3 linked regions of the Pelodiscus sinensis genome follow. The main gene of each other region encodes a partner of the protein of the gene in region 3 in a complex. Links are inferred from orthologs where the notes say so. Each region holds a gene or a part of one and is shown on either strand. Other genes may lie near its edges. The genes, in order: POLR2H, RRN3 and TAF1B.

Region 1 (3,744 bases), on a different chromosome or scaffold from region 3:
TGAGATAGCCCCCAATGCAGCCAGCCCCATAAGCACAGTCTGGCCTCTACCTCCACAGCACTAAGTGAAGCTTGAAGGCACGTGCAATCCGGCCTTACAGCACCACCAATAGCCACAGCTAGCTCAAGCAACCCCCGGCGAATATGGAGGAGCTACAGAACCAGGGCCGCCAAGAACAGATAGGGGCTGCTCAGATACAGCAGTGACGAGGACTGTCTAATTACGGATAAGAGAGTTTAGAAACCAAAAACTCAACAGGACAGATAAAAGTGAAAGATGACAAGGAAAACAGAGAAAATGAACGGCGGCCGACAAGAGAGCAGAGCGCGGGCACAAAAGCAAAAGCGGCAAACGTGCGAGGAGACAGCAGTGCCCACTTGCCGACTGACCACAGTGGGAATCTGCCAGACAAAGGCTGGGAACCAAGGGCTGCTCTGGTTAGCCCCTTCTCCCTGGTGTTTAAAGGCCAACGTGATCAGACAGGGATGCTGACCCAGGGCAGCTCCCCAGCTCCACGCTTTCCCCACTTTCTTTACCCCTCCGTTCACTGACCTCAGCCTGCATGAGACACTACTGAATTCTTGAGCTACTCCCTGCCAGATGCTGCCCCGTTACCTGGACGGCCTGTCATCGGTGGGGTTATACTCCCCATCATCCAGGGTCCCATCTTCATACAAGGTGCTGGCAATAACCAGACGGAATTTGTCACCTGCAATACCCAACAGAGAGCAGGTGAAAGGCACGCTCCCAAGGAGGCCAGCTGGGCACAGGAAGTATGATCCCACACAGGGGCTACGTCGCCACCGGCAGCTTCTGTTCTTGCGCAAAAACTTGCCTGCTGTCTACACTGCACGCGCGTTCTTGCGCAAGTAAATTTACAGTACAGCGTTGTAAAACAGGGCTTCTGCCGGCAGAGTTATTCCGCTCCCCACGAGGAATAAGCCCTCTTGCGCAAGAGCTCTTCCACAAGAGGGCAGTGTAGCCGGGCCACATGAATTTCTTGCACAGGAAGCCCCTATGGTTAAAATGGCCATCAGAGCTTTCTTGCGCAAGACAGCGTCCACACTGCCATGGATGCTCTTGCGCAAAAGCACATGCCAGTGTAGACGCGCTCTTGTGGAAGACTTTTTGTGCAAGAACTCTTCCGCAAAACAGTTCTTGCACAAGAAGCTGCCGGTGTAGACGTAGCCAGGAAGGAACTCCGAAACCAAAGCACACAAGGCATACAGGCTGCATCTTACTGCAACGGTGCTTGATGGCAAAGAGAAGCAAGCCACCTGTGAACTGGCTCCTCGCCCCGATCTGCACAGTCACTCAGGCACACAGTATTCAGGGCTCCCAGCTCCAAGGAAGGGCAATCAGGGCATTCAACAGCACATCCAAGTGCCAGGTGATGCGCTCTGAGTAGCATGATCCCTAGAGGTCATGGAGCTGTCAGGCAGGTGAAGTGCTTCCCCTCACATCACAGCTGCATGTGACCACTGGATCTAATTGAAGGCCTCGTTCCTTCAGAACAGCAGCATGCAGACAGGGGCTTACTGCACTTTAAATCACACAGCCTTTTCCTTAATTAAACTTCATACCCTGGGTAGACAAGCCCATAGTGTTATGGGCACTTCCGCCAGCAGCTGGCTCTAGCTCAGCAGGGGCTGCCTGATACAAGGATTATCTGTTGCCAGCCTGAGGGCCCCCTACTACGTACCCAGGTCCACGGGGTAGATCTGTATGTTCACATCCAGGATTAGGTCCATCTTGAAAGACTCACTTTCACAATGCAGGCGGGAAACTGGGAGAGAAGGAGCAGAACCAGTGACCCGGGACGCAGTTTCGGTTCACGTTCACACCCAGATCTTGGGGGAGGGAGGTTTGGACCTGTTTATTCAAGGGCCTTGCTCCCGACCCAGCCCCAGATCCGTGGGGCGCTATGGGGCCCGGCCCCAGATCCGTGGGGGGGAGGGGGCGCTATGGGGCCCGGCCCCAGATCCGTGGGGGGGAGGGGGCGCTATGGGGCCCGGCCCCAGATCCGTGGGGGGGAGGGGGCGCTATGGGGCCCGGCCCCAGATCCGTGGGGGGGAGGGGGCGCTATGGGGCCCGGCCCCAGATCCGTGGGCGGGAGGGGGCGCTATGGGGCCCGGCCCCAGATCCGTGGGGGGGAGGGGGCGCTATGGGGCCCGGCCCCAGATCCGTGGGGGGGAGGGGGCGCTATGGGGCCCGGCCCCCTGGACCTGGGGGGGGGGGGCGCTGACTCACCCCGGTCGAATTTCTTGCCCTCGGGGTCGATGTCCTTCACGTCGAAGATGTCCTCGAAGAGGATCCCGGCCATGGCGCGCGGCGGGCGCAGGGGCTCGGGGCCGGCGGACCCTCACTTCCGGCCAGGCGCCCGCTAGAGCCCACGCGGCGCCGCCATGTCAGTGCGGGGCGGAAGCACTCCCCCGGCCCGGCTCTACGCCGCGCATGCGCACAGGCTCCCTCCCGTCTGTTGGGCGCTCGCAGCCCCGCCCCGCCCCCTGGTGTCCCGGACGCCTGGGTTCCCTCCCCGGCTGCTCCCAGCACCTGCGGGCAGCGCCTGTCGGGGTGTCCGGGGCCCCGTCCCATAGACCCGCCCCCAATCCCGTCCCCCCGCAAAGCCCGGCCCCCGCGACCCTACACAAACACCCAGGGCGAGGCCCATCCCCGCACTGCCCGTGGGGGGGCTCTCCCGATCTCCCGGGGGGGGGGGGGGACAGGTGATTAGGTGGGGGAGGGGCGCCCATTGGTCCCAGGGCTGGGGGGAGGGGCGCCCTTCAGGCCCCGGGCTGGGCCCCATAACCACCCGCCCCCCCCTTCGGGTACCTGCTGCACGCGGGGCTGCGCTGCGCTCCCAGGCAGGTGCGGCGTCAGCTGCCAGCCCAGCCCCTCCCTCTGCTTGGGCCCTGCTGGGCCAGTGACTCCTCCATCCCCGCCTGCCCTGCCGTCCCGGGGCAGGGAGCGCCCCCGGGGGACGAGAGGAGCCAGGTGTCCCTTGGCCTGGCTGGCTCCCGCCCAGAAACGCTGCCCCTGCGGCCGGGGGGAGGAGCCGGTGCACCGACGGATCCTTGCGGAGGCTGCGTGGGAAGCCGCGGGGCCGGGGCAGGTGGGGGTCCCTAGCCATGTGCACCGGAAGGCTGCCCGGCTAGGCACCTGGGCTCTGCGCAGCAGCGATGGCCCCTGGCGGCAGAGACGCCGCAGCCGGGTTCTGAGTCTTGCAAGGAGCCGCCACCTCCACCGCGGCGGGAGGAACCCGGCAGGATCTATGGAGTATCAGAGGAAGAAGAAACTGACCAATTGCACCATTGGGCTCCTCTTCCTGTCGGGAGGGATCGAGTATGGTGAGCGCTGGGGCCAGGGGTGGAGGCGATACCCTGCCAATAGGGCTGCCAAGCCTCCAGGATTAGCTTGGAGGGAGTCTCCTTTAAGTCAAGATTATGGCCTATGAGGAAATCTCCAGGAATAGGTGACGGGCAAGGTTGCCTGGGCCCTGAGTGTTAGAGCCAACTCCAGAGGCCTCTGCTGTCTTTGGGGCTCCCATGGAGCTGCTGTGCCAATGTCCATGAGTGACACACCCTGGTTTGTGTTCCATGGGGGGGTTATGAATTTTCATATCTGACCCCCATTGCCATAGTGTCAAAGCCTTGTGGATGTTAATCGACCTTCTGGACCGGATCAGTCTCCGTCTCATCATGTCTCAGATGGGAAACGGAGGTGGGGTTAACCAGTTTGCCTGAA
Region 2 (3,744 bases), on a different chromosome or scaffold from region 3:
AAAATTGGGGTGACCTAACGAGCATGTTTGCTCTTCCACTAAAAAAAGCGGAAGAACAAATGCATCCCTGGATGCAGAAGAGTTTTTCTGGGATCTCTCCAGAATCCTGAAAAACTCCTGCAGTCTAGCCATACCCTCACTGGGTTGGGACAGGATGTGTAGGCTCTGGGGTGGGAATAAGGGATTTGGCTGCGGGAAGGAGTGAGAGATGCAAGCTCTGGGAGGAAATCTGGATGGAGGAGGATGTGGAAAAGGGGACGCTGTCTCGGGGAGAGGCTCCAGGCCAGGCAGTGTTGGAGTCAGATGTAAGGTTAGGGTACTAAGCAAGCCACAGGCTTGTGGATGTGAGGGTTCAGGAATTTGGGTTGGGGTATGTGAGGGGCTCAGGGCAGGGGGTTCCAGTGTATGACAGGCTCAGATCTAGGGTCTGGGGGAAGGGGGCATGCAGAAGCATTATGATGCTGTGGCCAGATGGGGGCTTGGCCCCAACAGGGGGTTTGTTGACCAGGCTTCATTTTTAAATAAAATACTATGTCAAACACAAAAAGTTTCTGCATTGTCTTTATTTATGAGAAGAGCAGGGAACCTGTTTCGAGTCAGGGGTCACTGATCCAAAGAAAAGTCAGTTGGGGCCACACAAGTGAAATGAAAACACACACACACCCACCCCTCCTCCAAAACCCCCACAAGCCTCACTAATGTGGCCCCAACTGTTCTGGTGGGAGCAGGGGACATGGTACTGAGGAAGGGTGATAGTGGGTTCTGCAGCGGGGGGCAGGGGAGAGAGAACAGGGTGCCAGGAAATCGGGGGACAGGTTTCTGCAGCAGGGGACAGGGTGCTAGTGGAGACAGAGAGTCCCCTGAACCCCCCTTCTCCCAGGATTCCCCTCCCCCTCCAAAAGGAGGGAAGTCCTGTCGCATGCCTCCTCTGGGCCCGATTCCCCCCTCCCGCAGAGCAGGGAAGCCCACGCATGCGCCCCCTCGGGGCCAATCCTCCCCACCCACTGAGAAAGGAAGCCCTGTCGCATGTCTCCACCGGGGCCGAGCAGGGAAGCCCATGCACGTGCCTCCTCAGGGTAACCCCCCCTCCCGCAGATGAAGGAAGCCCCACTGTGCACCTCCGCCATGAGCCTCCCGCAGAGCAGGGAAGCCCCCATCAAGCACCCCCTCCAGGCCCGACTCCCCCCTCCCACAGAGAAGGGAAGTCCCAGCGTGCGCCTCTGGAGATTCACCGGGTAAGTTCCTGGCACACCACAGACTTGGGGCAAGGAAGCAGCCAGTGCTTTTCCGGAACCCCCAGAAGTGACGCACAACTGCAGGACTTCTGTCCAGCCTGCAGGAAACTGCCACTACCTCCATTGTCTCTCGAGGTAGGTAATGAGGCTTTTTGGGGTGGGGAGATATGGGGGGCCCGTAACGCCTCATGATCAACTGGTTGATGACCACAGAACTATACACTACAGATAAGTACAGTGGGGATTGAAGCTCAAAGCTATGTTAATCAAGGGGCAGGAGCTCCATACAGCCCTCCGTTTCCCCCTTTCCATTTTCTGATTTGCCCCAAAATCAACAGGGTTCCAGCCACTACTGAGCCCTAGAACATTCACTGAAATTTTGGAATTCACTGGATGTGACATTCACAAGCTATCACATCACAGACAGATAAGGTTGAGTTGAATGCAAGGCATTCACAGGTTTGCCCAAATACCCAAATGAGAAAGAAGAGTTGGAAGAACCCCTCTGAAATCAAGAGACATGTACTAGTGTAACACCTACAGGTGGAACCAAACCTGGGACTTTTGAGCTCAGTGCATGAGCCTCTACACAGCTTGAGCTAAAAACCAGCTGGCTCTCAGCTGAGGTTGTATAGTACCCTCATTCTTTCTCTCTGTAAGTAGTCTACCTGCCACTAGGACACACCACCTTGAGTAAGCGTGTGGATTACACTGGCATCAGAGAGAGCTTGACTCCACCTGCTTAAAATGAATACACTGGCATAAACACCTAAATACGCTGAGAAACAGTCTGTAAAGAGTAAGTAAGTTCAAAGTAAACAAGCGTCACCTCTTGGTATTTCTGTAAGACATCTGTCAACGTCCCACCGAACCTGACGGTTTTTCTCGGGGGCGAACTGATGAACTCATCTCCTCCCAACATGTTAAGCGCCTACAGGGCAAGACACAGATTAGCACAGCACGGAGGCACCTCGGCAGCTGGGCTGCGACATTTCTTGCATCGCTCCCGCCTGTCAGGCAGGTCACACGGCGGCAAAGCAGCCGAAGGACGCGTCGGGGAGACGAGAACGCCTCACGCGCGTTTCCACAGCGGGAAACCACGACCCGCCCCCCCTCGCGCCCCCCGCTGTTCTGCACAGACACAGCCCAAGCGGGGCAGGGAGAGGAACAGGGGCAGAAACGCTTCTTCCGGCCCGCTCCCCTGCGCCTCACCTCCGCCGGCCGCCCCACGCAGACTCCGGGCAGAGGCTTGCGGGAGAAACTCCGCAGCGCTCCCCGCCGGGGGTGGGGGAGGTGTCTCAATTAGCCGTTGAGCAGACACCACGCGCCGCCCTCTGCTCGCGCCGCGGGGCCGGCCACCTCCATGCTGCCTTGGGACGGGAAAGGACTGGGCGGCCTCCCGGAAGTGAAAACGAGGCCTCCGCACCCATAGAGAGGCTCGCGCGCCGGCAGGAACGGAGCTCTGCTCTAGCTCTGCTCTCGCTGCTCCTGGAGGACTGGCGCGAGGAGCCGGGCGTGTGCAGTGGGGGGCGCCCGGCCTCTGTCGCGCCGGGCAGCGCCGAACACCTGCGGCCCGGCTCGAGGGCTTCCTCCGCTGCGAGGGTAGTAGCGGCAACGTCACCCAGCCCAGGGGATCTCAGCCGGGGGAGGGGCGGTTCCGGAGCTCCGGCTCTCTAGGCTCCCTCCCGCCCTCGTCCTTTCCGCCTTCCCTGGGCTCCGCGTTCCCTGGGCTGCCGGCGGCTCGGACACAACCAGCCTAAGTTCTCCCGAAGTAGCCCGCGGCCCCGGGAGCACCAGCGGCGCTGGGCAAGGCTTCATCTTGGCGGGGCTCCACGGCGAGCGCTCAGGGTGTAGGGGCGATGGGGGTGCCAGAGCAGCGGCTGAATCAGGACGCCTGGGGCAGAGCAGCTCAGGACCAACCCAGCAGCGCCCCAGCTGCTCTGCCCCAGGCGTCCCCAAGTCAGCCGCTGCTGAAACTGACCAGTGCTGACTACAGGAAACCCCTGCCCTGGGCTTCCTGGAATCAGCCTCTGATCAGTTTCAGCAGCAGCTGACTTGGGGACGCCTGAGGTTCTTAAGTTGAATCTGTATGTAAGTCAGAACTGGCATCCAGATTCAGCTGCTGTTGAAAATGATCAGTTTCAGCAGCGGCTGAATCTGGACGCCAGTTCCGACTTACATACAGATTCAACTTAAGAACAAACCTACATCCCTATCTTGTATGTAACCCAGGGACTGCCTGTAGTCTCTTGAGGAAGATGAGACCAGTACCTGCCTCCACTCCCTGCCTTCTGCCTCACTTAAGTCAAACTAGGCTAGATTCACAAAGTGGCAGCTAAGATAGGGGTTTGTAAACACCAGTGCTGCCTGATTCTAGAATTTAGGTGCCTAAAGTGGCAGGTAAGTGCCTAAGTCCCATATGGAAAATCTGAATGCAAAAAAGTAAGTAGGGAGTTTAGAACCCTTTAGGGCTTAATTAACTCTCTTGGGAAATGTAGCTCATACATAC
Region 3 (3,744 bases):
CTAGCTTCAACTTCCAGATATGGTATCTTTTTCTATAGCTTTGTCTACTAAACTGAGGAGCCCAGAAGCACATTTTTGTTCGCCACAAAAATACTTATAAACTGTGATCAAGTTACCCTTTAATCTTCTCTTTGTTAAACTAAATATATTCGAGATTCTTGGGTCTATCACTGTAATTAATATATGTTTCCAATTCTTTACCTGACCTGTGTTAACTGCTGTACACAGCAACACTATCACAGGGTGAAAACCCATGTAACTTATGCCTAGCATGGTTGTTAATGGTTAACCAGTGAAGGCTGCTTCAGCTCCCAGGGGGCCCACCTGCCCCGTTTAATCGGTTAACTGATTAAACTTAATGCTTAACCACCTAACTAATTAAATGGGATTTTACATCCCTAATGCCTAGAATACTTGACACTACAGGACATTAACAAAACATTAGGAAGGGAAGAGAATATTAGCTGACAGTCAAAAAAAGAAGTGAAGGAAAACTTTAGTAAACTGTACACCAGAAAAAAAAAGTTAGAGAACACAAGGAATGGAAGAAAGCCTGCAAGAATAAAAGGTGACTAGAGACACCCAAGAAAAAGAGATTAATTAAAAAGTAAGGTCTCATTCTGGATCAGCAGTGGGCAATTATTTTTTGCCAGGGGTCACTTCAGAAATTTTTGAAGTGGCCTCAGGCCAAACCGGAAGGCGCGGGGCCTCGAGCAGAAGGAGCGGGGGGGGGGGGGGGGGGGGGAGGAAGAGAGGATGCTTTCCCACCCATAGACCATGATTGGTCCAGGGGGATGGGAGAGCGCCTTTGCCCCCCCTCCCGAAGTTCCCCCTAGGTATCCATGCCCCTCACAGTGAGAGGAGACTTTGCGTGCTCCCTCTTCTGCCCCCAGACCAATCAGGGCTTGGGGGTGCAGGAAGTGTATGAAGTCTCCTGCCACCCTACAAGGAGTTGCGCACTCCTGTCAGGGCGAAGGAAACTTCATATACTCCCCCCTGCCCCCAGGTCCTAATTGGCCTGGGGGTGGGGGAGTGGCAGGGCCTCTGCTGGCTGAATCAACCCACTTGGCAGGCCACATCCAGCCTGCGGAGGTCCTTTTTTCCACCACTGTTATGGAAGGAATGAGGACATGGGAGAGAATCGATGGGAGAAATATTTTTTAATATCGTAAAATTCTGTTTGCAGATTTTAAAATTTCTTAAATCAGCTTAACTTGTTCTGCTAAATCATTAATTACCCATTCAGTTCAGGATCATAGATACCCTCCTCCCCAAAAGTCACTTGCACTGATTTGCCCACAGTGGATCCTTAATCTGTCAGTGTCCTTTCATCTCGCAAAATGCAAAGTTATTTCAATGAACCATAGGCAGAAACCTACCAAATTCACTGTCCATTTTGATCAAGTTTGCCATCATAGGGCTTTAAAAATTGTAAATGTCACATCAGCTATTTAAATCTGAAATTGTACCATGTTGTAATTCTAAAGGGTCTGATCCAAAAAGGAGATGTGTATGTGTGTGTGGGGAAGCAGGGGTTGCAAATGTATTGGGGGAAAAGGAGTAGTACTGTAGTACTGCTACCCTTACTTCTGCACTGCTGCTGGTGGCAACACTGTTTTCAGAGCCTAAGATAGCGGGAGAATGGCAGTTGCTGACCAGGCTCCGAGCTCTGAAAGCAGAGCCACCATCACCAGCAGCGCAGAAGTACGGGTGACATGGCATGGGATTGATGCCTTTTCTTCTGCATGGCTGCTGGTGGGGCACTGCCTCAGCACTGGGCACCCAGGAACAGCTGCTGCTCTCTGGCCACCTGTTACCTACACTCACACCACAATCCCAGCCCAGCCTACCCCATCCTTGTCTGCCCGTTAACAGGGCAAAAACCCCGACCTTCAAAATGGCCCCATTGCTCATACCCGCCCCATTGCCCATCCCATGTCAATCCGCCCTCCCACCACAACCCCCATTGCCGCCCAGACACCACCCGCAGCCCTTCGCCAACCCCCGTTCCCTAACCCCGCCCCCGCGCCCCCGCCCTGCTTCCCGCTCTCTCCCCGCACCGGGCGGCTCCGGGCCGCGTCTCACCGTTTCCTCCTCCTCCATGCCTGCGGCCCGCGCGCCTCAAACCCGCTGCCTCGGGCCTCGCGCTCCGGCGGCAGCGCGCGGGGGAAGAGCAGCCGGCCAGGAACCGGGGCCGCGCGTTTGGGTTCCGGCCGGGTCCTAGGGCCACTCAGCTCCCCAGGGAGCGCCCGCCTCGTGCGCCCCTTCCCCGAGGCAGCGGGCAGGCGGCGCCGATTTGCATCCCCTGGGCTCAGCCTGGATGGGAATCTGCCCCGCGGACTTGACTGAGCCACAGCCCGAGGCGGAAGCTGCTGCATTATTCGCCAGCTGAGGACTGAGCCCGGGACTTGTAGGGCAGAAAGCTGGTGGCCCTGGCTGCTTGAGCTCCCGGAGAAGCACCTCGCTGCTGTCCACCTGTTACAAGACGCACCAGCGGAGCTAGATCCGCCCTCTCCGAATGTGCACCACACTTTTATTTTTTTATTACAGACCTTTGTTTCGGTGATATTTCATATTTGAAACGTAAAGAGTTAAGACTTTACCAAATGCATCAGAAGAACGATTATAGTACAACCTGAAGGAGAAATTTTTCCTAGTCTTTGCCAGTTAGTGATTAGTTTATATCCTGAACCATGACAGTTTATAATCTTCCTTCTATAATGTAACTGTGATGGTTGTCCCTATCCATGTAGATGTATAAATAATATTTTTTTTAAATCCTACTAAGAGCTTGGACTCTGATATATTGTGCTAATGAGTCTCATAGGTTAATTATGCATTATGTAAAAATATTTGTTTATTAGTTTTAAATCAGTTGTTTAATGGTCAAGGGCTCAGTTTTATGTCCTGATACAGGACACTGTTCTGACAAACTTTTTAGTTTTTTTAAATGTCTGAGCAATACCATAAGCTGTTCTAAATCACATGTTTTTGCAGAGCCATCTGATGCAAGGCCAAAGGATTGGTATCTATAGCCACCTAAGAAATGCTTGTCATTATGTTCAAAAGTCCATGTCATAGAGTGGCTGTTACAATTACCACAGAACCATATCAGACAGTGAAAAGTCTTACTGCTCTTACTAATGAGAAATACTAATTATTTCATAGCACCCAAAAATGTACTAAGTGCAAAAGAGAAGCCACAAGCCAGTAATTGTGGCATAAAGATCTTCTCTCTAATCAGGTCACAGAAAGTACCAGCAGCAGCCCAAGCAAGTCCCAGAGATGGGAGGTCAGAACTGATAGGGAGTAAGAAGGAGTTCTTGAGTACTAAAGGGGGAAAGGAGGAAAGATGTTGGGGAGGGCAGAGTTCCTGGAGACCATGAGTGCAAAGAAATTAAGCAGAAATCTGAGCTTTATGGGATGCTCTTGAGGCATAAGAAGGCCTTCCAGAAGCTGAGGATGAAAGGAAAGAGGGAGAATGTGGGCAAGAAATGTGGTTCTTGAGGGATGTAAAATGCTATTTGCTTTTTCCTGGGAAGAAACCCCAGATCCTCCTCCCTTTTAATTTTGTTCCATCTGATCCCTGTTTGTTAGTTAGTTAATTACAATTGCACTCCTGTATACAAGGGTCAGGAAAAGAAGGGCAGAAGTTATAGCAATAAAATTATGTAGATACTTAGCAAGGCTAGATACACAACACGGCGAGCAATGGGGGTTTTGTTGAGGAGATTGGGGGAAGGG

Evidence for each region.
Region 1: TAF1B (region 3) and POLR2H share a complex: the UniProt entries of both Homo sapiens proteins name them as parts of the pol I pre-initiation complex. The link is inferred for Pelodiscus sinensis from reciprocal best matches to the Homo sapiens genes TAF1B and POLR2H.
Region 2: TAF1B (region 3) and RRN3 share a complex: the UniProt entries of both Homo sapiens proteins name them as parts of the pol I pre-initiation complex. The link is inferred for Pelodiscus sinensis from reciprocal best matches to the Homo sapiens genes TAF1B and RRN3.

Annotation. Positions count from the first base shown.
Region 1 is NC_134720.1:48,355,426-48,359,169, reverse strand, and holds the start of POLR2H (DNA-directed RNA polymerases I, II, and III subunit RPABC3), read right to left. Parts: upstream 2,464-3,744; 5' UTR 2,324-2,463; coding exon 2,251-2,323; intron 1,787-2,250; coding exon 1,703-1,786; intron 710-1,702; coding exon 616-709; intron 1-615. Other genes in the region: major facilitator superfamily domain-containing protein 8-like, read left to right, coding at 3,272-3,347. UniProt on the Homo sapiens protein: DNA-dependent RNA polymerase catalyzes the transcription of DNA into RNA using the four ribonucleoside triphosphates as substrates.
Region 2 is NC_134726.1:17,932,716-17,936,459, reverse strand, and holds the start of RRN3 (RNA polymerase I-specific transcription initiation factor RRN3), read right to left. Parts: upstream 2,642-3,744; 5' UTR 2,448-2,641; intron 2,167-2,447; 5' UTR 2,158-2,166; coding exon 2,065-2,157; intron 1-2,064. UniProt on the Homo sapiens protein: Required for efficient transcription initiation by RNA polymerase I (Pol I). Required for the formation of the competent pre-initiation complex (PIC).
Region 3 is NC_134713.1:27,654,832-27,658,575, forward strand, and holds the start of TAF1B (TATA box-binding protein-associated factor RNA polymerase I subunit B), read right to left. Parts: upstream 2,560-3,744; 5' UTR 2,104-2,559; coding exon 2,086-2,103; intron 1-2,085. UniProt on the Homo sapiens protein: Component of RNA polymerase I core factor complex that acts as a GTF2B/TFIIB-like factor and plays a key role in multiple steps during transcription initiation such as pre-initiation complex (PIC) assembly and postpolymerase recruitment events in polymerase I (Pol I) transcription.